Linked DNA regions of Elephas maximus indicus. The protein of the gene in region 2 purifies or fractionates together with the protein of the main gene of each other region. This does not show direct contact. Links are inferred from orthologs where the notes say so. Each region holds a gene or a part of one and is shown on either strand. Other genes may lie near its edges. The genes, in order: PKM, HDAC6 and DNAJA1.

What was found.
Region 1: the proteins of HDAC6 (region 2) and PKM purify together in Homo sapiens (affinity purification with mass spectrometry, with the first as the bait; 4 studies listed by BioGRID). This does not show direct contact. The link is inferred for Elephas maximus indicus from reciprocal best matches to the Homo sapiens genes HDAC6 and PKM.
Region 3: the proteins of HDAC6 (region 2) and DNAJA1 purify together in Homo sapiens (affinity purification with mass spectrometry; 4 studies listed by BioGRID and IntAct, with this or other methods). This does not show direct contact. The link is inferred for Elephas maximus indicus from reciprocal best matches to the Homo sapiens genes HDAC6 and DNAJA1.

The regions. Positions count from the first base shown.
Region 1 is NC_064831.1:62,521,912-62,525,657, forward strand, and holds the start of PKM (pyruvate kinase PKM), read right to left. Parts: upstream 2,809-3,746; 5' UTR 2,716-2,808; coding exon 2,636-2,715; intron 1-2,635. UniProt on the Homo sapiens protein: Catalyzes the final rate-limiting step of glycolysis by mediating the transfer of a phosphoryl group from phosphoenolpyruvate (PEP) to ADP, generating ATP.
Region 2 is NC_064846.1:122,835,675-122,839,420, forward strand, and holds the start of HDAC6 (histone deacetylase 6), read right to left. Parts: upstream 2,211-3,746; 5' UTR 2,101-2,210; intron 1,837-2,100; exon of another isoform or gene 1,742-1,836; intron 1,667-1,741; exon of another isoform or gene 1,564-1,666; intron 1,512-1,563; exon of another isoform or gene 1,447-1,511; intron 1,395-1,446; exon of another isoform or gene 1,251-1,394; intron 913-1,250; 5' UTR 883-912; coding exon 790-882; intron 712-789; coding exon 583-711; intron 449-582; coding exon 360-448; intron 1-359.
Region 3 is NC_064827.1:42,217,703-42,221,448, reverse strand, and holds the start of DNAJA1 (dnaJ homolog subfamily A member 1), read right to left. Parts: upstream 2,574-3,746; 5' UTR 2,403-2,573; intron 1,296-2,402; 5' UTR 1,286-1,295; coding exon 1,154-1,285; intron 798-1,153; coding exon 620-797; intron 1-619.

The DNA.
Region 1 (3,746 bases), on a different chromosome or scaffold from region 2:
CCCAAACTGCTTTAACAAAGACTACTCAATTAGCCAAAGTCTGGCTCTTGGTGATAAATTCAAGCTCCCAGAAAGTATAGTGGCATTAAAAATGGTCTTCATACATAGCTCTGTTCCCATCTGGATGATTAAAGTGACAACTCAAGGTTCAATGAGACCTTTTATCAAATAAATCACTTACGCATTTCACAAAGATCCTCAACAAGATTGCAATAAAACTCTGCTCACAGGGCTGACACATGCTTGTGGTGTACCAATTAAATGGGATTTGACCGTGGACATTTGGAGTGATTCAGAAATAAAGATAATGTCAAAGGAATCATTTTCCTCTACCTTGATCTCAGTCTTAGCTCTTGGCCAAGGTAACACTGCTGGACTTGCCTTCATAAAAGCTGAAGCAAAATAAATTCAAACCCAAGTAATATGTCTGTAATACAAGGGCTGCATTTTTTTCTACCTTCCTGCTCAAAGCCGCTTCCTCATTCCTTTCATTGCCTCAACATTAAGAAATAAACAGCCTTAAGAAATAAAATGGCTTTTCCTGTGACCCCACGTTAGTGTTACAACATTCAAATACAGAAGCAACTTCCATAAGGTACTAAGCTGTTTCGAGTCACAGCTGCCAAATTACTGGGGTTGCAGTTCTTAAAAGCCCATTAATGGTCCTTGGTAAACTAGGAACCGGACAGCTAAAATCATTCATTTCTAACAAATGATTAAACTAAAAGCAACTGTTCTAGAAAGGAACCAACTAACATCCATATACTTGGAAATGAGTTCAAGGACATTCTTCCTTTAAGTTCCTGTTACTAAATTCCTTGTCCTTCAGAGGGCAACCCACTGAGAGAGTGCCATGCTCAGCAATGCAGGTGCAGACTGCCACTCTGCACTTAAGCTCTTTGGGTAGTACGGAGGGGGCCCAGGGCCCTGGACCAATCATTTTTCACTTAGTGAGACATTTTATGCGGGGGAAACACATGCTTCATTATCTGACTCTTTGAAAGGGGACTTTTTAAACCTGCAAAGACCGCAATGCAGTTTCCCCACTCACCCAATGAGGAGAATTCTCTCGAAAGCTGAGAAGTTGAGAGGTTGAGTCATCTTCCCTACTGTGCCTCCACCAACACACAGACCTGGTAATGGGTTACATACCCTTCCTCCTCAGAACAGCCCCAGTGCATACCCATCAGCATCCTCAGGCAACCGGAGGGCAAATTATTTGCTAACAATGGTGCAGCAGGGGTGGGGGTGGGGGGGTCCCAACCTAGGCCCTCCTCTGATCACACCCTCAGTATGGCCAACAGGCTATGTATGCCCCCAGCCTCCACTCCTACCCTCACACTTGTCAGCCTATCTAGCAAATCCTAGAACCCTACCTGCAGGGGCTGGCAGGTAAGGAGAGCTGGGATCTAATGATTTCAGTCTTGGTGTTGCAAGTTTGTTTCTATTCTTACAGCCAACCACCAAAGGCTGAAATCATCCCCCTCCTAGCCTTCCTTTGTCTAGAGGTTGCCATTCTCAGAAGACCAAAGAGTCCCAGTTGCAAGTGAAGATTTGCAAAGTAACATTATTAGTTACTTTGTAAGCACTATCCCAGCATCCCTCAGGGGACTGGTTTCCAAGTGATGTCTGCTGCAGTAAAACCTACAAAGGTTGGAACCTGCTTAAAGCAGAAACCTGTCACTGAAGGAAAACTCAAATATTTTCCACTAATAGCGATGGAAAAACACCCTTTCAAAGGTGGAAAACTTTAGAGACCCGGGAAAACAAGGCAGCCAAGTCGATTCTGGCTCGCAAAGGTTTCACTGTATTTAGAGCCTAACTGTATGTGTTTGGGGATGACTGGGATATGGTGAATCAAGAAGTTCAACACTTATGCTCAAGCATCAATTAGGTAGTAATTGTGCTCAGTGACCAAAAGAGTACAAGCATTTGAAGACATTTCTTCTGGACATCTCACCAGAGATTAGATTCTGGCAAATGCAACTTGTGGGGCACCTACTACGTCCTAGACACTGCACCAAGTATTCAATATATAAACATGAAGGTGTGTGTAGAGACCAATCCATTCGACAATCATGAGGAAAATATTACCTCCAGTTTATGCGTGGAAAACTGGTCCTTTGGCCATCTCAGTATATTAATGAGTCAAGTATCTGCCCATCATGCCTGTACCTGAACTCTTAGGTTCATTTTACCCATACTGAAGGAGATCAACCTCCTGAGTTTGGACAATATGGATAAGAAGGCAAGAGATGCCGCTCCACGACTGAGTCTTTAACCTTCAGACTAGAAGGTGCTTTCCCTGCTCCTTCAAACCCAGTGTGAATGCCACCTTGTGAGGCCTCCTGCCCACCCCCAGTCTCCACGCCCACAGCAGGAAGCTGGTGCCTTCCTCACAGCACTTACCAGTCATAAGTTACTTTCATTCTATAAACAGATCGGCAGCTCAGCGGGCTCAGCTCCCTCCTCCTTGCACATCTCCTTGCACACCAAACCCCTCCCCAAAGCAGCCCTTGGCACTAGAGTTTTTATTGTGCGACCATCACGAAGGGCGTCAAGCTCTAAGGAAGGTTTCCCTCCCCTACCTCGTAACCTGCTCCCGGACCCACCCGGGACCTCCGCGTTCTACAACCTGGGCACATTTGTTAAGAAACGTGAAGCAGAGGCAAGAAATCCCGTGCCGCCAACGCAAGGAGACCACGCCGAAGCCATCTGGCAGCTTCTCCGGCTGGAGGTCAGGCTCCGCCAGGAAACGCTAGCCGTCCAGCGGGGTAGGGCCCGGGAGCGGGGCCGCTACTTGCAGCCTGGCCGCGGAGGGATGGAGTCGCGTGACTTCTTCGAAGAGGCGTAGTGTCGCGCTGCCACCCTGCAGGGTCTCCGCATGGTCCGCGGCCAGCGCGGGAATAGCCGACAAAACAGGAACTCGCCACAGGCGAAGTCAGCCCTTCTCCCCCGCTGCCGGGAAGGCCAAGGGTTATGTAACCCCGTAGCTGCGCCCGGGGCCGCTGTAGCATCCCCCTGGGCGCATAGATGACAGCCCTATCTATTCGCACACCACGAACTTGGGGTGGTGACTCACTGCCCGACCTCCCGCCACGGACCGGGGCCAAGGGCTCCACCAGGGCCGGAAGCTGCTGGTGGGCCTGGGAGGCCGGGATGGAGAAAAGGGCAGGACCGAGAAGGACCCAGGAGAGGCGGGCGGATCCGACCAGAGGCAGGGGGAGGGGCCGGGGCGGCAGAGAGGGCGGGAGAAGGATGCAGGGGTGCGGACGTGACCGGGGTGGAGGGGGAGGGGCGGCACGGGGGCGAAAGGGGGAAGTGGTAGGTGAACAGGGGACGGGGCGCGAGGAGAGCAGATGGAACTGGAAGGGAGGAGGGTGCGGGGATGCGAAGCAGAGACAGAGTTTCAAGGAGAAGTCACAACGAAAGCATCAGAAGGAAGGTGAAAAGGACAAGTTGGAAACGAGGGGGCGATTGGGACTAGTGTTAAAGGGAAGGAGGCCAGCATAGGACCAGACCGGGGCGGAGGAGGAGGGAAGTGAAGATGCGATCAGACTGGGAGGGAGCAAGGCACGGGAGGAGAGGATGGAACCAGATTGAGCAGGAAGGGAGATGGAGCGGAGGATGGGGCCGGCATGGGGGACGCTAGGGGCTGGCTCTGCCATCCGAATTTGGAAGGAACGGAAGCTGGGGGCGTTGAGGAGCCGGCCCTCGGGGCGAGCAGCCTTTCTCCTCTCCCTGAC
Region 2 (3,746 bases):
ATTCATGGCAATTTCATGTGTGTCAAAGCAGAACTATGCTTCATAGGGTTTTCAATGGCTGATTTTTTGAAGTAGATCACCAGGCCTTTCTTCCAGGGCACCTCTGGGTAGACTCAAACCTCCAACCTGTAGTTAACAGCTGAACTTAACTGTTTACATCACCCAAGGATTCCTCCTGGCACACAACTGTTTACATCACCCAAGGATTCCTCCTGGCACACAGTAGGTGCTAAAAGGAACCCTTTTAACTCTAAGCCCCACCTCCCCAAATCATCTGCTTCCAGTTTCCAGGCTGCCCTAAGAAAGAATTCCTTCTTGCTAATGTGTTTTTGGGGACTGCTTAGAGGACTCAGCCTCACCTGTCATCCCAGAGGCAGTGGAATTCATTTAGCTGCTCTTCGAACACCAAGCCTGTGCCAGACAGTGCCTTGGGCTCCAGGTTCAGATCCTGCAGGGAAAAAATGGGAGACACAGATCCAATTAGAGCCTGAGTCAGAGGGAACATTCCATACTGTCCAGGATGGGAAACCTCAGGGTCTTGGGTTGCCATTGGAGGCTAAATCCAGGCCAGGCCCCTCTCACCAGCTCTTGCAGCCCCATGATTAGGTCTTGCTCTGCTGCTTGGCTGAGCTTCTTCATTCTGCCTTTCTTCTTTACCTCTGCTAGACTAGGGCTGGAGCGGGGTACAGCACCCTTTTTAACACCACGCTTCTGTCAAGCAGAAAGAAGGGTCAGAGTCCAGGGGACAATCCACGGCTCTCCCTCCCCGGGGCCGGTCTGGGGCCTCACCGAGATGACGCTGGAGTTATGGGAGGGTGAGTGGGGGTTGTGTCTACTCCTTCGCTGTCTGTTTGTGGTGGAATCTTGGCCGGTGGAGGTCATGGTAGGAGAGACTGAGCCCCTGACACGGTCCTGGGGGAGTAGACGTGACTGTCTGTAAGGGACGGTGTGCCCAGAGGACCCAATATCCTTCCCCTTGCCGGCCCGCCTCCTATACTATTCTCCATCCCTTATGCTAGCCTATTCCCCACTGCCTTCTAAAACTCCACTTCTCCCAAGACCCTCTCCCTCCACTGGGGTGTCCCTTTCACCTTTCCACTAAATTCTACCCCTTTTACACAATTCTCTTTTCCTCTTTCAAATACTTGCCCTTTCACTGAGCCATTAATTCCCGACTCAGTCCTTTCTAGGGCCTGCCCTTCCCAGCTAATCCCCGCCCTTCCACTCTACCTAGCCCCCCATTCCCAGACCCTTTCATTCTTCTAAGCCTCGTCCTGGTTGTGGAACTCTGATGGTGTAGCGGTTAAGAGCTCGGCTGCTAACCAAAAGGTCAGCAGTTTCAATCCACCAGCCGCTCCTTTGAAGCACTATGGGGCAGTTCTATCCTGCCCTACAGGATCGCTATGATTCGGAATCGGCTCGACAGTACCTAACAACAAGCCTCACCCAGACCCCACCCCTTCACAAATCTTCCTTTTACGGCGATCTCCAGGGAAAATCGCCCACGCTTTCACTCAGCCAAACCCAGCCACTGCCCCATCCCAAGCTTAACGATTCACCTACCCTCGCCCCTAACGTTTCAATAAGTCCCGCCCCTGAGAGGACTACTTTCCTTCCTCCAGACCCTATCCCCTGCCCTAGGCCCTACACTTAACGCCACACCAACCCCCTCTAGCCAGTCCTGAGCCGCCTCCCGCTAGCTTCCGCCCCCTTCTCGCTCCCCACATTGACGCAGACCAACCGCTTCGGTTCCACTCACTGGGCGCGGCCCCCTCTCAAACCCCGCCCATTGCTCTCGCTAGCAAATTCTGGCGACTTGTGGGACGGCGGGTTCCCAGGCTCCTCCTTTCCATTGGGGCGGTTCTCTCTGCCTGCTGAGATCCCGCCCACACCAGCTTCCTCAGTGCCCCCCAAGACCACGCCCATCGCGCTGGCCACACCTTCCGCAAGCTCACAAAACCGGCGCGGAGGCAGGAGAAACTGTCTATGCTGCGCCTGCGTGAAGTAGCACTAGCGGTTCAATACAAGGCTAAGGCTGTCCCGTCCCCCGGCTACTGCTTGCCTGCCTTGGCCACCAACCCTCTGCCCCTGCCCAGTCACCTCAGGAACCCTCTGGATCCGCGACGATTGTGCCTTGCAAAGATTCAAGAGAGCGCAGGGAAGGGAGGGAGTTAGGCAACGGCGTTTTCCCACTTTCCCGCTGCTTCCGGCGCGGCGCTCCGTGATGACGTAGCTTGGGCGGGCTGGCTGCTGGGCCCGAAGTGGGGCCCAGAGTGGGGTTGAAACTGAAGGACGGTTTGGTAGCGGCCAAAGTGCGAATGATGATGATCATAAATACTGTGGGGATTCTATGAGTTGATATTCACTAAGGTCGCACACATTAAGCACACACCAAATGTTAAAAAAGCTATTAAAATTCTGGGAAAATGGGTGGTGGCGCAGGGGGAGGCGTAGTGGGACAAGTAATTGTAAGGCTAAAAGCAAAAAACCAAACGCGTTGCTGTCTAGTCGATTCAGACTTAGCGACCCTATACGACAATAGAACTGCCCTATAGGGTCTCCGAGTTCGATTCAAACTACCCACCTTTTGGTTAGCAGCCAAGTTGTTTAACCACTGCACCACCGGGTTTCCAATTGTAACGCTAGCAAGTACTGTACACCAGGCATTGTTAGCCACAACTCTATGAGGTACTTCCCATTATTAATGCTGCTTTGCAGATAAGGAAACTGAGGTTACATGACTTGGCCATGTGACCTTGGGCAAGTTACTGAACATCTCTGTGCTTCAGTTTCCTCATATGGAAAATTGTGATAATAATATTGCCCGAGGCTAGAATGGAGTCGGAGTTTTTCATGGTTGGCTGGTCTCCCTATCTGCCTCCCTCCACCGGGTAAACTGCACTCAAGCTGTAATACAAAGCCTGTGTGCCTAGAGAGTAGGGGGAGTTGTTCCTATGGCCCGCTCTCCCTCCCACCCCTGTCTAAATATCAGCTCTGCAGGAGGTCGGTTTGTCCTCCTAATCTCCCTCTCATTCTCCACCATTTCCTACCGGGCTGCAGGCTGGGGCCAGAGAGATAAGCGGTCTGGGGTTCAGCAGCGCTGACTAACAAATAGATTGACAGCCCCACCGCCCAGTAGGTGGGCCTTCTGACCCTCTTGAAGACCCCCCCCCCACTTCCAGCCTCTTCATGCCTTTCATTCTTTTCCATCTGAACATGCCTTTTGTACCAGTGGAAGAGAGTCATAGACTTAAGACCTTTAAACCTCAAAGAAAATACACATACAATGATACACACTGGGAAACATTCTGGGGTTGTTATGCTTGCAAAATAAAAGTGTAGGGAGTCTGGAATGGGTCAAGGCCCAATTTTTTGTAGTCAGGAGAGAGGTTCCTATAGAGCAGAGGTTGGCAAACTCTAGTAAAGGCCAGATTTTAGGCTTTTGAAGACCACATAAGGTCTCTATGGCATATTTTTATTTTTTTTAACAACCCTTTGAAAGGGTAAAAACAGGCTACAAGCTGGCCTTGCCTGCAATCTATAGTTTGCCAATCCCTGCTTAGAGTATCAGTCCTTGGTTTTCCTTACCTGGCTGGGATTCTTCTATAGGATGAGGGCAGGGGTTCCCTGTGGCCTGAAGAGAGGTATTCCTTTTCTGTTAGGTTTGAGGACAGGGGTTCATTTACAAGGCCAGGTCACTTCTGGTGTTCCTCTACTGGGTCAAGCAAACCTTCCTGGACAGGGAA
Region 3 (3,746 bases), on a different chromosome or scaffold from region 2:
TCTAAAGTTGGCCTCTACTCATTAGCCCTTGTTTGTATAAAACATACAGGAAATAAGGTGAGACTGTCTTCTCTTGACCAGAACACTGTACTGAACAATATTTCTACAGCCTGCAGACTACGTTTCTGCTAAATAAAAATTCATGTATTTTGATAAAATAAAGCTGAATCAAGATTACAGCTAACAAGCTATGTGAAGACAATGAACCTGTGTTCTGATTCTGGCTCTACAGTGGACTGGCTGTATGACCCTCATAAAATTTACTTCAGATCACCTTTGACTGAAGAGGCTACTTACTGTATTTAACACTGGGTCGCTATGAGCCTGGTATCTATAAAAAACACTTTGAAAATTATGTTGCTGTTATTTTGTTTCTTTAGTGTTTGATTAATCATAGTACATGCAAGACCTTTACGAATAATCTGTTACCGCTTAATTGGTTTAGCAAATTTTTTTTTTTTAGCATATTGTTACATCAAACCTCAATCTAAACTACACCATAAATTAAGTACCCAACATTATACCAACATAAACATGCATTTAAAACTTATGGTTGCTCAACAATCTGTTTTGACCAATGGCTACTTTAATTTGCTGCATGTGGACTAGGTTGTCTTACCTCTCCTTTCTCTCTGCATCCTTCCACCACCTCCAAAAAACATATCAAAGATGTCCATGGGGGAGCCAAAACCACCACCTGCTCCACCCTCTTTGATGGCCTGCTCTCCTCCTTTGTCATACAATTCTCTTTTCTTTGTATCAGAAAGCACTTCATAAGCTTGAGAAATTTGTTTGAACTGTTTGAGAAAAAAAAAAAAGAATAAATTTCATTTTTTAAAACAAAACTTACAAAGCACAGCCATTATGTTGTTATGCTGTCAAGTTGATTCCAATTCATAGCAACCTGCTCCATAGTTTCCTAAGCTGTAATCTTTCTTTATGGTAGCAGATTGCCAGATCTCTTCTCCCATGCAGCCTCTGGTGGGTGTTGGGTTTGAACTGTTGACCTTTTGGTTAGCACCACAGCGCTTAACCATATCATGCCAGGGCTCCTTTTGCCATTATGTCAGATACACTCAATTTCACGTGGTACTATAAAAACTAGACACCTGGGAAAGAACTATTCAGATACTTTTAAGGACGTACTACTTGCCTTCTCGCCTTCATTTGGATTTTTATCAGGGTGGTACTTCAAGGCCAGTTTCCTATAAGCTTTTTTCAACTCTTCCTGGGTGGCATTGGGCTTGACCCCCAAAACATCATAGTAAGTGGTTTCTTTCACCATTTTCTACAGCCTGAAATAAGAAAATGCCATTTTAACCGACTTTCAAATTGTAGTTTTAATTAGTAAAGTCAGAGTTAAGACAAAAGTTGAGTCCTTCGCCAAATCTGATTAGAGGAATACCACCTCACTATCTAAACTTCACCGTAAAAGTAACAATTTCTGGGATAACTCAGCCACAAATTCTAGTAGACTAAACATAAAACAGTAATTACCAACGAATAACTCAAGGGCTCCTTGTAGCAGTTGGCTTCCACTCTCCCACACTAAAGTATCCGAACTAACACATTATTACCTGGGTTGCTTGTTTCCCCCTCCCAAAGGTGGTGACAGCCAGCCACAATAAAAAGAAGCATAGTAGGTTCGGTCCGTGGATTCTCACGTTTTACCGTCTTTGGTAAGTCTAATAACGCCATATACTCCCCAGAAAAAAGACGTTTGGGCACAATTGGGGATAGGGGGAATTGGTTTACAGAAATAATCAGAAACACCAGATCCAGAGAAACAGCTCCCCTCCCCCAAGTCCTTAGAGATGTTTCTCAATCACAGGGTTTACACTCCTCCGCTTTAACCGTCCAACCCCCTCTCCCCATAAGGCAGGGTACTTTACATCTCGTCAGGTTCTCCCCTGCATTTGGCGCCGACCGTTAAGGTTTCCTTCCTTTCTCCCGCCCACCACGGATCGAAGGGGTGGAGAGCGAAGCCCAGCCCTCAACAAAGAGAGGGTGGGGAGAAAGAAACGAAAGCCGCAGGCTCCTCCCGCAGCCCCTCGACTCCCTGCCTCCCTCTGCGCGTGCGCGCGAGGCCGCCCACCCCGAGAAAGTACGGTACGGGGGGGTCGGGGGCGCGGACAGAGGGGCAGGAAGGCGGCGCCTCCTCTGGGTCCACAGACTGGATGAGGAGTGGGAGAGTTCAAGGTCTCGGGCCCATTCACTGCGAGCCGGAGATTCATTGCCGAGTCACACACCAGCCCTCCAGACTGAGAATCGTGGATATGGGTACCGACAACCCTCTCGCCCACGCGGAGCCAACCGCCTCCCGCCCGCGACTCCATCCGGAATCCCGGCGCCACCAATGGCGCCAGGCGGAGACAAGGGGAAGCGCGAGGACTGAAACTCACAGTTGAGCGGACCGAGGCTGGTGTGGGGGAGCGGGACGGAGCGCGTAGCTGTACGCAGTTCGGGAGTCGCCACCCCTCCACCTCTCACCGAGCGTTCTGGAAAGTTCCCCTCGGAGCGCCGCAGCCGTCGTCTTTTGTAGCCGAGCCGCGGCGCGTCACTCGCCGGAAGTCCCGCCCCTCTTGGCCGCTGCCACCTCCCCGCAGTTACCTGGGCAACGGCGCGGGGGCGCTCGGGGTGGGAGGCGCTGTGCCGAAAGGCCTTGTGGGGGGGTGGGCGTAAGCCTGGGTTCTTGAAGCTCATGGAACCTTCTGGAGCCCCTTTCCTTTACCCGGCGGGCCCGGGATGCGGAAGTCTCGGGCGGAAGCAGGGATTATTCAGTTTGCTCTGCAATTCCGAGGCAACTCGGAGAATTCAAATGGGTGAAGTGGACGCCGCCGCTCGTAGGGTTAGGGAGAGCTTGGAGCAGGGCCCCTGGCGAATGCGGTCTGCTGAACGGAAACCTTTCAGAACAAAGCCCTGCAGCCCCTCCTCTCTGCATTCGCCTCATTTGCGTCTTTCGGCGTCTTCAAGCGGTTTAGTTCCTCAGCCCTGAGGTTATGGGAACATGCCGAGCAAGAAATGCTGAGCAAGGCGGGCCTGGCCTTCAGACCAGTGTCAGAGGCCTTGGGTCTTGCTGTATTTCACGCAGAATACAAAAAAAAAAAAACCCAAGCCCACTGCTGTTGAGTCAATTCCAACTCATAGCAACCCTATAGGACAGAGTAGAACTAACCGATACAGTTCCCAAGGAGCGCCTGGCAGATTTGAACTGCTAACCTCTTAGTAGCTGTAGCACTTAACCACTACTCCACCAGGGTTTCCATACAGGATCTTGTAATTCACCAAATGGGAGGTTGAAAGAGCTCTTTGTGCAAGTCCAGGTCCCAGCCTTGGGCCATGCTGTTTCCTACACATGGAGCTCAGGGGATTGTGCAAATAAATAGGGAAACGTTTAGGATGTCTTGGCGCAAGCTGAGAGCCTTGAGCCCTTCTCTGGCCAGGCTTTCACCTGGTTTGGCTAGCTGGGGACGCAGTACCATCGAGAGTGGCTAAATGTAAAAAGTTGTTCTAATGACTTTATCTGAATTTCAGGTTCTGTTAGTATGTGAACCTGGATCTACAGTCTATAAAGTGAGCTCATGCGCTTTCAAATTTTGGGACGAGGGCATAATGGAAAATAGGGGCCTGGGTTATTCAGTTACATAAACAAACATATGGTGAATATCTAGCACCGGAGAAGCTGAAAATGGAAAGGTGGAAAAGCCTGGTCCACGACACTTAGTCTTTAGTGAGGGAGCCGGAGA